3 linked regions of the Ovis aries genome follow. The protein of the gene in region 1 purifies or fractionates together with the protein of each later gene. This does not show direct contact. Links are inferred from orthologs where the notes say so. Each region holds a gene or a part of one and is shown on either strand. Other genes may lie near its edges. The genes, in order: CD151, ITGA3 and ITGB1.

Region 1 (4,119 bases):
CTGCTATTCCCCAGGGAGCTGAACACGCGGCTCCGAGACGAGAGGGACGTCTGTGAGGCCCAGCGGCTGGGCAGCGGCCGCAGGAAGGCTCTGAGCTCCGCCCCCCTGCTGGGCGCCCCCTGCTGCTGCTGTTGCAGTAGCTGGGCTCGCCCCCCCAGACGCGGCTCCGGCCACCTGCCCAGTGGCCGCTGACTAGCCCGAGTGACTCACTGGGCCTCACCTGGCTGCTCAGAGAAGCCGCCCCTTGAAGGCGACTCGGCGTCGCCGGGGGCTGCCTATCCAGGATGTGGGCTCTCCCCAGTGAGCTGCCCGGCCTGCCTGACTTGCAGACATGAAGGAACTAACCTGGGGGGTCAGGGACTCATGTCTCTCGCTGCGGTCCTCATTCTATGCCCAGCGCATCGAAACTACCGGAAAACCCCTTCCTCTGAATAAAGTTCACTGACTTCATCCTCCTTGGCGTGTGGGAGCCGTAGCATTTGGACCAGGCGTCCCTCGCCCTTGTGTGTCCACTGGACATGTCCACAAGCCGTCCGCCAGAGTTGTAGGGACCAAGGCACTGAGGCCAGTAGGCCAGGAAGCGGTGGGCGGGCTTCCCTGACCGCCCCCAGCCTCCACCCCTCCCCATGCCAGTCCTCACACAGCCCTGGGGGGGCTAGTTCAGCCCACTGGAGTCCTGAGTGGAGGCACCAGGGGTGGGCCTGAGCTGTCGCCAGTGCCCTCTGCCCTGCCAGCCCGAGCCTCGGGCAGGGAGCAGGGGACGAGGGCGGCCCACCGTCCCGGGAGAGCTGTCCCCACCGACGGCGCCGCCTCGAGCCGTCGGGCGCTCGGCTCTAGCTCCCCAGCGCAGCCGGTCGCAGCCTCTGCCCTCGTTCCCGAACCTTTTCCCACCACTCCCAGGCGACACCCTCCTGTCTGGACCCTCTCACGCCGTGACCCGAGCCTCCCCTGCAAGCCGTCCTCCGCAGGGCGCCCAGAGAGGCCCCTCTCTGCCCCTGACCGCGCCTCTAGGCCGTCCCCCGGGCCGGCCCGCGTCTGTCCCGGGGACCCCCGCAGCCCCGCCCCGCCGCTCGTCCCGAGCGGGCGCCCTCGGGCCGCAGCCCGCCTGGCCTCGGCCTCCTCGCGTGGCCCCCAGGCGGCCGCCGGGGCTGGTGCCCCGCCCGCGCGCGCCGAGCGCCGTCGGGACCCGCCTGCGTCGCCGGCCGGGGCGGGGCCTGCGGGCTCGGGGCGGGGCCCGGGGCGGCCCCGCGCGTCTCGCTCGCAGGCCCGGGCCGGCTGTGTCTTCTGTGCCCTCCGAGCCGCCGCCGCCGCCCCCGCCGCCCGCCGGACTCCGACGCGTGGCCGGTGAGTGCACCGCCGGGCACCGACGACCGGGAGAAGCTGCGCGCCCGGCGACCCCGCAGGCTCCCACCGGGGGTAGACGAGTGCCCGGAGGCCCGGCGGGCCGAGGGTCCGCCGGGCGAGGGCAAGGTGCCTCCCTGGTCTCCGGACGGTCCTTGCGGCCCCCTCGAGCCGGGGGCTCCTCCCGAGCACCCCACGCACTGCGCGAACACCGGTGCCCTCCTCTCCGCCGGTGCCAGTGGGCGGGCCGCGCGCCCCGCCAGGGCGTGGGGGTGGCGGCGGCGGTGACTTCATCGCGGTGACGCGCGAATTCCTCACCGGCCTGCCGGGAGCCGAGCTGGGAGTCCCCCCACCTTGGGGCGTGGGCCGCTGACAGGCCCGGCTGGGCTTCGGGAGCCGGGGGCGGGGCGGCAGCGTCCAGGGCCGCGGGAACTATTTCTGGCCGGCCCTTCCCTGGGGGCTCACCTCCTCCGGGCACTCCCGGAAAGGCGGCCGGCTCCTCAGCCTTTCTCGCCCGAGGGCGGGCCGTGCGGGTGGAGCCTGTGCCTGGAAACAGCCTTCCCCGGACCCAGACCCCAGGACAGGCCCAGGTCCGCCGGCGCGGGGCGTTCTGCACCGTTTCTTCTTCCCCAGCAGCAGCTACTGCCGCTTGGTGGGGGAAGGGCCAGTTACAGGCCAGGTGCCAAGGCTCAGACTAGGGGGCTTGGAGGAGGCGTGCGGTTCCCCCCGGAATCGGACTGTCCAGAAATGTCTTCTGCCCTGCCCCGCCCTAGCCGAGGCCAAAACACCGGGCCTGGCCGCTCCCTTCTCCGAGCGCGGGGGGCGGGGCTTTGGAAGGCCAGCTCGCGGCCAGTACCTGGGTCAGCTACAAGGAGGGATGGTGGGATCCTGCCCATCCAGGTTGAGCCTGACCTGTGGCCTGTCCCTGGCCCTCTAGTGAAGCCTCCTCAGGTGGGAACTTCTGCCTGCCTGCCCTACAGAGGAGCCCTCCCACCAGCCAGGTGAGTGCTAGGGCAGCAGCTAGGAGTCCGGCTCCGGGAGGCACCCTGTCTGTCTGGAAACAGGGCCCCAGGGCTCCTCTGCCCTCTGTGTCCCCACCCCGCTCATGCAGACACCCAGAAACGAGAGGGTGGGGTGGCTCTGGGGAGGGGCACAGGCTGGAGCTTCATTTCCCCCTGGGTCAGCGTGGCTATCCCCATTCAGGAGGGACCCCCAGGTCTGGGGGTGGCGCCTGCCAGCTCTGGCTGGAAGGAAGGCAGGCCGGCCCTTTATGAGGCCTGAGGGCCTTCTCCAAGGCCACAGGACTAAGCTAGAAAAGCACAGATCAGTCTACCTTTGAGCAGCTTCTGCCGCCCCTGCCCCCCCAGCAGCCGGTAGGATCCTGCCAACCTGTGACGTGGGGCACAGGGAATGTTTGGGGTGGGGTGGGGTGAGGGGCCTGTGTGAGCTCACCTGAGCTGCCTGCAGGGCTGAGTCAGCCCGTGGTGGTGGCTGGGGGTCCTCCATGCCTCCCCCGCCATGCCCTGGGCGCTGGTCAGGGGAGCCGGGCCCCCCAGGCTCCAGTTGGGCTGTGGGCACCATGTCTGCCCTTGCCGCAGTGGTGGCGGGGGCTTCCGAGCAGCCCTCCCCCACAGGCGCTCCCAGAACCTTCACCCAGGCAGGGGGTTGGCTTGGCCCCAACCTGGTCTGGACGTGTGTCCCCCGCTCCTCTCCCCGCTGGCGTTTGGCCGTCCTCCCGGGCAGCCCCTCCCCCACCTCCCGGCCCCAGGATGGGTGAGTTTGGGGAGAAGTCGGCAGCATGTGGCACCGTCTGCCTCAAGTACCTGCTCTTCACCTTCAACTGCTGCTTCTGGGTGAGCAGTGGGCACCCCCTTCCCCGACCTCGGAGGAGCCTGGCCAGGGGTCCAGGCCCGGGGCCGGGTGTGGTGACCGGTGTGCACTGCCCGCAGCTGGCTGGCCTGGCCGTCATGGCCGTGGGCATCTGGACGCTGGCCCTCAAGAGCGACTACATCAGCCTGCTGGCCTCGGGCACCTACCTGGCCACAGCCTACATCCTGGTGGTGGCGGGCGTTGTCGTCATGGTGACCGGGGCGCTGGGCTGCTGTGCCACCTTCAAGGAGCGGAGGAACCTGCTGCGTCTGGTCAGCGGGGCTGGCCGCACCGCGGGTGGGGGTGGGGCTCCCTGCCAGGCTGCCTGGGGTGGTTCTGGGTTAGGAGGGCTTAGAAGGGAGACATGGGTGAGACTGCAGGACAGACAGACTCTGCTGTGCTCACCTGGGAGGGGCTCCCTGCCCACCTGTGGGTCCCCGTATCCCGGCTGGGCCAGCAGAGGGAAGACGGCTGAGGAGCACTGGGAGGCCGGGGTCCTCCAGCCCTCACCTGCTGCCGGGGGCCCCCATCGTGTGGCCACTTGGCAGCTGAGGGCAGTGGCTCTGCTCTGCCATGCCTGGTGCTGGGCGTCCTCATGGAATGGGGGCATCTGTGTCCCAGCCCACCTGACTGAGCCCCTGCTCCTCCCCCCAGTACTTCGGCCTGCTCCTTATCATCTTTCTGCTGGAGATCATTGCGGGGGTCCTGGCCTACGTCTACTACCAGCAGGTGAGGGCTGGGACAGGCCACCCGAGGACGTGGACGTGCAGGGACACACGTGCAGTGAGCTGGACATGAGCGTGCAGGAGACGTACACATACACATAGGGACACGGACACCCACGCACTGGGCCACACGCACAGGCAGGGCACGCACGTGAAGACCTGCCATGTAAGGGTACACACGCAT
Region 2 (3,646 bases), on another chromosome or scaffold:
TGGGCTTAGCTGTGTGTATTGGGGGTGCGTCCCCCAGGTCTGTGCCCACCGCTACACCCAGGTGCTGTGGTCGGGGTCAGAGGACCAGCGGCGCATGGTGGGCAAGTGCTATGTGAGAGGCAACGACCTGGAGCTGGACGCCAGGGATGACTGGCAGACCTACCACAACGAGATGTGCAACAGCAACACTGACTACCTGGAGACGGGCATGTGCCAGCTGGGCACCAGCGGTGGCTTCACCCAAAACACTGTGTACTTTGGGGCTCCTGGTGCCTACAACTGGAAAGGTAGGGACCGTGGGGGAAGGGAAGAAGAGCAGAGACCACTACCCTTGTTAGGCCCTGAAGCAGTCTGCCAGAGCTTCCACACAAGAGGGCAGAGGAGAGCACGCCCTTGCCAACATCAGCAACCACCTCGACCTCTGATATTTTAAAGCACTTTCTAGGTACCAGAGGTACACCTATTATCTTAATTAATCTTAAAATGCAAGTATTATTATACCCATTTTACAGAAAACTGAGCCTTGGAGAAGTAAAATAAAGTCAAATAAACTGAGCCCCAAGGCCAGTAGTAAGTCCTGAAATGTGTATTGGAATGTAGGTCCATCTGATGCCAGGTTACCATTTAAAAACTTATTAAAAAATAAAACACATTCCTGGTACAACTACTAAATGGTACAGTCAATTAAACAGGAAGAGCGCCCATCTCCCACATCTCCCTCGTCCCATTTCCCAGTGTGTACTGCTAAGTGTCTCGTGGGTCCTTCCAGACCTGTTTTAGAATATATAGGTATCTTAAGAAACACACATACCCACACAGAAAATCATTTTAAATGTATTGTTCTGCTACTTCCTCTTCATGTATCAATAAATTTCAGACATGTTTTCACGTCAGTACATACAAGGCAATCTTTTGAGAGTGCTGCAGAGTATTTTCTTGTATCAAAACCCATGCTTTGATTCTGCCACACCACATACTGCCTTTCGGGCATCTGATGGCTCACACACCCTCCACCTGCCTCTCTCCACCACAGGCTATAGCAACAGTGACCTCTTTTCCCTTACTGCACCTACTATTGCAGAATCAACAAGCAGAGGGAGCCCAGAATCTTTTTTTTTTTTTTAATTGCAGTATAGTTGATGTACAATACTATGTTAGTTTCAGGTGTATAACACAGTGATCAGTATTTAAGTACATTGTAAAATGATCACCCCTAGAAGCCAAGAAACCATCTGTCACCCTTCAAAGTGATTACATTATTATTGACTATATTTTTTATGTGGTATGTTACATCCCAATGATTTATTTATTTTGTCCTCTTGACCAACAGATTGCCCAGGGCATAGTCACAGCTCTGGGCTCACCTGAGGCTGAGGCCTCTGCTCACTTTGCTAGTCTTTCTTCCCACTCCTTGGCAGGGCCAAGGGACTCTCCAGCAGCAGCCTGGGGGCAGGGGAAAGCAGGTAGCCTGGGGACAGGATTAGGAGGAGATAATGGTGTGAGTCTGGCTTCCTTGTCTAGGGTGGGGGAAACGTCATCTGTTGATAGTATGCTGGTACCCAGATGACTGGATTCCAGCCATGACTGGACATCCCTGAGCCTCCATCCCTGAGCCTCCATCCCTGAGCCTCACTTTTCTCATCTGCAAAATGGGGGTCATCATGCTAGCTCAGAATTGTTAAAATAAAGAGTAAGTGATTTTCAAATGGCAAAGTACTCACAGATAAAAGAGGTTATTGTTATCCTTGTCTGGAGTGGGGGCTGGACATAGTGGAGAAAAGGAGTGGTGGCTTATACCCCCTTCCTGAAATCTTTATGAAGGAAACAGCTACATGATTCAGCGGAAGGACTGGGATTTGTCTGAATATAGTTACAAGGACCCAGAGGACCAAGGAAACCTCTATATTGGTGAGTCCAGTGGTAGTGGCCTTTTGGTGGGGAGGAGAAAGGGGGCTCAGTCCCTGGCACACTGGTCCTCTCTGCTTCAGTGTCTGGGAGTAGAGAGGCCAGGCTGCCCTGAGACCAGTAGCATTCAGTTCAGCTAGCACACACTTACTGAGCACCAGCTGTATACTCCACCCAGAGGCAGAGTCATGACCCTCATGGAGTTCATGGTCAGGGTACAGTCAGGACTTGGGGCTGGGCATCCAAGGTCCACTTTCTTGCCCAACTTAGAATAGAGGAATAGAAGATAATGGGGGATCCTGGGAGATGACCAGAGTACAAGGGGACCAAGCTTACTGGAGTCTCAATTGACCACCTTCCCCCCATCCCAGGCTACACGATGCAGGTGGGCAGTGCCATCCTGCACCCCACAAACATCACCATTGTGACAGGTGCCCCGCGGCACCAACATGTGGGCGCTGTCTTTTTGCTGAGCCAGGAAGCAGGTGGAGACTTGCGGCGGAGGCAGGTGCTGGAGGGCACGCAGGTGGGAGCCTATTTTGGCAGTGCCATTGCCCTGGCAGACCTGAACAATGATGGGTGAGGATCCAGGGACATTTCTCTGGGGCCAGGGAGAATGATGAGGGGGTGGGCTTGCACGAGTGAGGGCAGAGAAATAGAGGTTTGCAACTGTGCGTCTTTTTGCATGCTGTTTGCAGGGATTTACACATCAGTTTTGCATGTTGATTTGCAATCAGACTTTATGGGATTCGGGGTGTTTGCATGTCAATTTCATAATGCCTGCATCTCACTGTCTGTGCCTGTCATTCATATGGCCCTAGTGGATATGAGCTGTTTGGGTGTGATCTGTGTGTACATGGCTTTTCCCGAACCTGTGTTTTCTATCAGATTGGTCACATTGACACTTCCAAGTCCTTCCCACAACCTGTGGCCAGAGGCATCACTTGTAGAGTTGTGTGCCCTGCCTGGCGCAGTTGTGTCTGCTAAATAACAGTTATGCTGCATGTTCCATCTCCCCCTCCTTCTTTCCTTTGCAGGTGGCAGGACCTCCTGGTGGGTGCCCCCTACTACTTTGAGCGGAAAGAGGAAGTAGGGGGTGCGATTTATATCTTCATGAACCAGGCAGGCACCTCCTTCCCAGACCGCCCCTCCCTCCTTCTTCACGGCCCCAGTCGCTCCGCCTTCGGCTTCTCTGTGGCAAGCATTGGCGACATCAACCAAGACGGATTCCAGGGTACGAGCCAGCACTCCCGCCCCAGCATCCACTGACTGAGAGCCAGCTGCATACCAGGCTTGATAGGGCCCAAAAAGGAGACAGACTCGGGCCCAAGTCTGGGGAGCTCACAGCAGTGCAGACGGAGCCCCCAGGGGTGAGCTCAGTAGACCTCCTGGAACAGTGGACATACCACTGGGCATCAAAGGCCAGGCTGAGTGTACACAATGGTGGGAACAGAAGGGGCAAAATGTGAGTGTGGTACATTTGGCTGATGTATAGTGGGTATGAGGTGTTCACATCAGAGATGTGGCTGGAGAAGTGGGGTGGGGGTGGGGTGGACACACTGAAAGCCAGGCAGCAAAGCTAGGGCTTTATGCTTGGGTTATGGTAGAGGGGTGTCGGAAAAGATTTGAGGGCAGAGGTGTGACATGATAGCTTGGTACCCTGAGAGATGATTTTGGAGGGAGATGTGGGCTGGATGGAGGTGGGTAGCAAGGCTAGGGATATTAAAATCAAGAATATAGT
Region 3 (3,646 bases), on another chromosome or scaffold:
CTTGCTTGTTTTCACTTCGCAGTGTTGTGATTATGTTGTTACCACTGTTGTGAGAAATGAGATTTTTAATTGCAGGAAATGGTGTTTGCAAGTGTCGAGTGTGTGAGTGCAACCCTAACTACACCGGCAGCGCCTGTGACTGTTCTCTGGACACCACGTCCTGCATGGCCGTGAATGGACAGATCTGCAACGGCCGCGGCGTCTGCGAGTGTGGGGCCTGCAAGTGTACAGACCCCAAGTTCCAAGGGCCAACCTGTGAGATGTGTCAGACCTGCCTTGGAGTCTGTGCTGAGCATAAGTAAGTCTTTCTCAGTTGCTTGAAATAGGTGATTGGTCACTGTCTGTTCGCCTGTGTGTGATCGCACGGTACCTAGAACAGTGCCGACACCAGGCCACACTGTAAATAAAGTATCTGTCACCTTGAAGCCCACTTTTTAAATCTAAAAATTCTCAATCGCTAGTGTTGGCACATGATAGTGAATTGTATCCTATGAGTGTGGTGGTACCATTATTTCAACCTGAATTTGGTATTTAATTGAATCCATGTGGTAACCTTTGTTAAATTAGTATTACCAATTGCTATTTACTGCCTTTTGACTAAATAAAATGGAAGGTTTTGTCTAGCAGAAAGAACCATAATATCAGCAACACATTTCAAAAGTTATTTTGGCTTTATATTGTATATTTCATTTCTGATTGGGCTAGTTTTAGCTTACTACTCTTATTTCTTTTGGAGGATTTTAGTTTGAGCTATAATAAATCTATAATTTCACTTAGGAAGCTAGCATCTTTTATGTTTAGTTTTCCCACCAAGAAATGTCATATGTTTCTTCATTTATTCATATCTTCTTTCATCTCTCTTGGCCAAATTTGGTCAAATTTTGAGTCTAGCACACAAAATAATCTTTGAGCAAATATTATTATAAATAATAAATATAATCATTTGCATTTTAACAGAGAATGTGTTCAGTGCCGAGCCTTCAATAAAGGAGAAAAGAAAGACACATGTGCTCAGGAATGTTCACATTTCAACATTACCAAGGTTGAAAATCGGGACAAATTGCCCCAGCCAGGCCAGGTGGATCCCTTGTCCCACTGTAAGGAGAAGGACGTTGACGACTGCTGGTTCTACTTCACATACTCAGTGAATGGGAACAATGAGGCCACTGTTCATGTTGTAGAGACTCCAGGTAGAAATCTGATCATTTCAAAGTTTTTTGCATTTTCTTTTATGTCTTTCTGCTGGTTAGAGCTTTTGGCAGTTCCCCTTGATCCCTGGGTTGGGAAGATCCCCTGGAGAAGGGAAAGGCTACCCACTCCAGTATTCTGGCCTGGAGAATTCCATGGACATTCCATGGAGTTGCAAATAGTCAGACATGACTAAGCGACTTTGACTCACTCACATTTAGGAACAGCTTCCAGCTACTTTACATGACTACTTTGCATTCAAGTTAGGACATTTTAATCTCTTCAAACTTAAAATAGTATTTAATTAACTATAAGAAATAAGGGAAAGAGAAAGCAAATTTTATGTTATGGAGAGTTTGAAGAGTAAATGCAGTAACCCGTATAAAGCCCTTAGCACAGTGCCTGGTAGAAGGTACTCAGTAGCATCATCACTAATAATATTTTTAATAGCAGCTTGATTTAGGCTTGGACGCTGGGAAAGATAATTGTTAAAGGGTATTATATGGCATGAATTTGTTCTGCTTTTCAAGAGAGGAATCATTTTTATCTTTTTTTTTTCTGGGAACTTTTAGTACATTCTTTGGAATTTTCTGCATTTGTGATTAAGTTATTATTGGAATGTAAGTTTTCATTTCTCTAGGATAAATGTTAGGGATTGGGGAGAGGGCATATATTTAACTTCAAAAGAAACAGGCAAACTTTTTTAAAGCCTCTGTTATTATTTTGCATTTTCAGGTATGTGTGTTTCAAATACTGTTTTTTGAAGACCAGAAGCTTAAATTTTACCAAGTTTTTCTTTTGTAGATCTTGCTTCTTACTACCTTAGAACTCTTTGCATAACTCAACTTCATAAGTATTTTTCTCCTGTGTTTTCTTCTGAAAGTTTTAGTTTCTGGATTTGCGTTTAGGTCCATAACGTATTTTGGGCTGCTCTCAGTATCTGGAGTGGAGGTCCAGTTATTTGTAGGTAGATTTCCAGCAGTTCTTGTACCATTGCTTGAAAAGGCTGACTTTTCTCCACTTTGGGTGAAAATAAGATGACCTTATGTGTGTGGGCCTGTTTCTGACTTTTGATTCTGTTCCATTAATTTAGGCATCTGTCCCTTAGCTAATAACACACTCTTTCAATTACTGTTGCTTCACGGCTAGTTTTGTGACATCTGGTAATGTAAATTGTCCAGCTTTGTTTTTTCCTGAAAGTGTTTTTGAGACACTTTCCTAGTTCTCCTACTTCTTTGTAAATTTTAGAATTCGCTTGCTTGATATCCCACACATGTCCTGCCAGGATTTTGATTGGGATAATATTGAGTTTATAGATAAAATTGGGAGAGGATTGTCTAATCAATTGTCTAATTGATGAACATAGATAAAATCTCTCCATTTATTCAGATCTTTTTTAAAAATCAGTGTTCAGTAATTTTTAGCATATAAATCTTGTACATGTTTTATTAGGTTTATACATAAGTATTTTGTGATTTTGGTGCTATTGTAGATAATACTATTTTCTGAGGTTCCGTTTCTAATATATAGAAATCAGTTTTGGTATAATTCATAGAAATACATGATTTTTATTTATTGATCATGTACCTTATGATCTTGTAAACTTATCTGTTACTTCTAGTATCTTTTTTTATAGGTTCTTTTGGATAGTGTGCCCCAAGATACGTCACTTATCTTGGAGTTTCTATTCCTGTGTCTTTTGTGAGACTGCACAGCTCTCTGTGGTTCTGGCTGCACCTTCACAAGCTAACCCCCCTTGTGTGCGTATCCTTTGCTTTTTACTTTACAGAGTGCCCCACTGGCCCAGACATTATTCCGATTGTAGCAGGTGTGGTTGCTGGGATTGTTCTTATTGGCCTTGCATTGCTGCTGATTTGGAAGCTTTTAATGATCATTCATGACAGAAGGGAATTTGCCAAATTTGAAAAGGAAAAAATGAATGCCAAATGGGACACGGTAAGTTGGAAAACATCTAAAATGGAAGGTGTTTCATAAAGTAAATGTAACGCTTCTAAGACTTGTTTATTAGCTCTAAAGCTGATTATTAAAGTCCTTTAAATATTTCAGTTGCCCCCCAGAATTTATTATTCAGGAAACTTGCATTCAGTGAAAAACAGAAAACATCTTAAATACATCCCATTAAAAGAAAATAGTTGTAAGAATGTTTCTTCAGGTTACTGTGGTATTTTTATTTTCTTATTAATTTTAATCTTAACTCTGCTCTTCTGCCTTTTCTTCTTATATAAAATAGAATCCTGGGGACTTCCCTGGTGGTGCAGTAGTTAACACTCACTTCTAACACAAGGGGTGTGGGTTCAATCCCTGGTTGGGGAACTTGGATCCCACATACTTGGCATGACCAAAAAAATTAAAACCCTACATAATTTCAGACTATTCAGTGGAAAGCTGCTGCTTTTTTTTTTTTTTAATTTAACAAAGAACCCTAAGTAGAAATCAG

Evidence for each region.
Region 2: the proteins of CD151 (region 1) and ITGA3 purify together in Homo sapiens (co-immunoprecipitation; 4 studies listed by BioGRID and IntAct, with this or other methods). This does not show direct contact. The link is inferred for Ovis aries from reciprocal best matches to the Homo sapiens genes CD151 and ITGA3.
Region 3: the proteins of CD151 (region 1) and ITGB1 purify together in Homo sapiens (affinity purification with western blotting; 4 studies listed by BioGRID and IntAct, with this or other methods). This does not show direct contact. The link is inferred for Ovis aries from reciprocal best matches to the Homo sapiens genes CD151 and ITGB1.

The regions. Positions count from the first base shown.
Region 1 is NC_056074.1:46,921,651-46,925,769, reverse strand, and holds the start of CD151 (CD151 antigen), read left to right. Parts: upstream 1-1,251; 5' UTR 1,252-1,344; intron 1,345-1,657; exon of another isoform or gene 1,658-1,931; intron 1,932-2,241; 5' UTR 2,242-2,342; intron 2,343-2,975; 5' UTR 2,976-3,110; coding exon 3,111-3,194; intron 3,195-3,290; coding exon 3,291-3,482; intron 3,483-3,864; coding exon 3,865-3,939; intron 3,940-4,119. Other genes in the region: CRACR2B (EF-hand calcium-binding domain-containing protein 4A), read left to right, coding at 1-56. UniProt on the Homo sapiens protein: Structural component of specialized membrane microdomains known as tetraspanin-enriched microdomains (TERMs), which act as platforms for receptor clustering and signaling.
Region 2 is NC_056064.1:36,313,843-36,317,488, reverse strand, and holds part of ITGA3 (integrin alpha-3), read left to right. Parts: intron 1-37; coding exon 38-287; intron 288-1,821; coding exon 1,822-1,908; intron 1,909-2,276; coding exon 2,277-2,484; intron 2,485-2,942; coding exon 2,943-3,139; intron 3,140-3,646.
Region 3 is NC_056066.1:19,329,609-19,333,254, forward strand, and holds part of ITGB1 (integrin beta-1), read left to right. Parts: intron 1-75; coding exon 76-298; intron 299-957; coding exon 958-1,190; intron 1,191-2,977; coding exon 2,978-3,144; intron 3,145-3,646.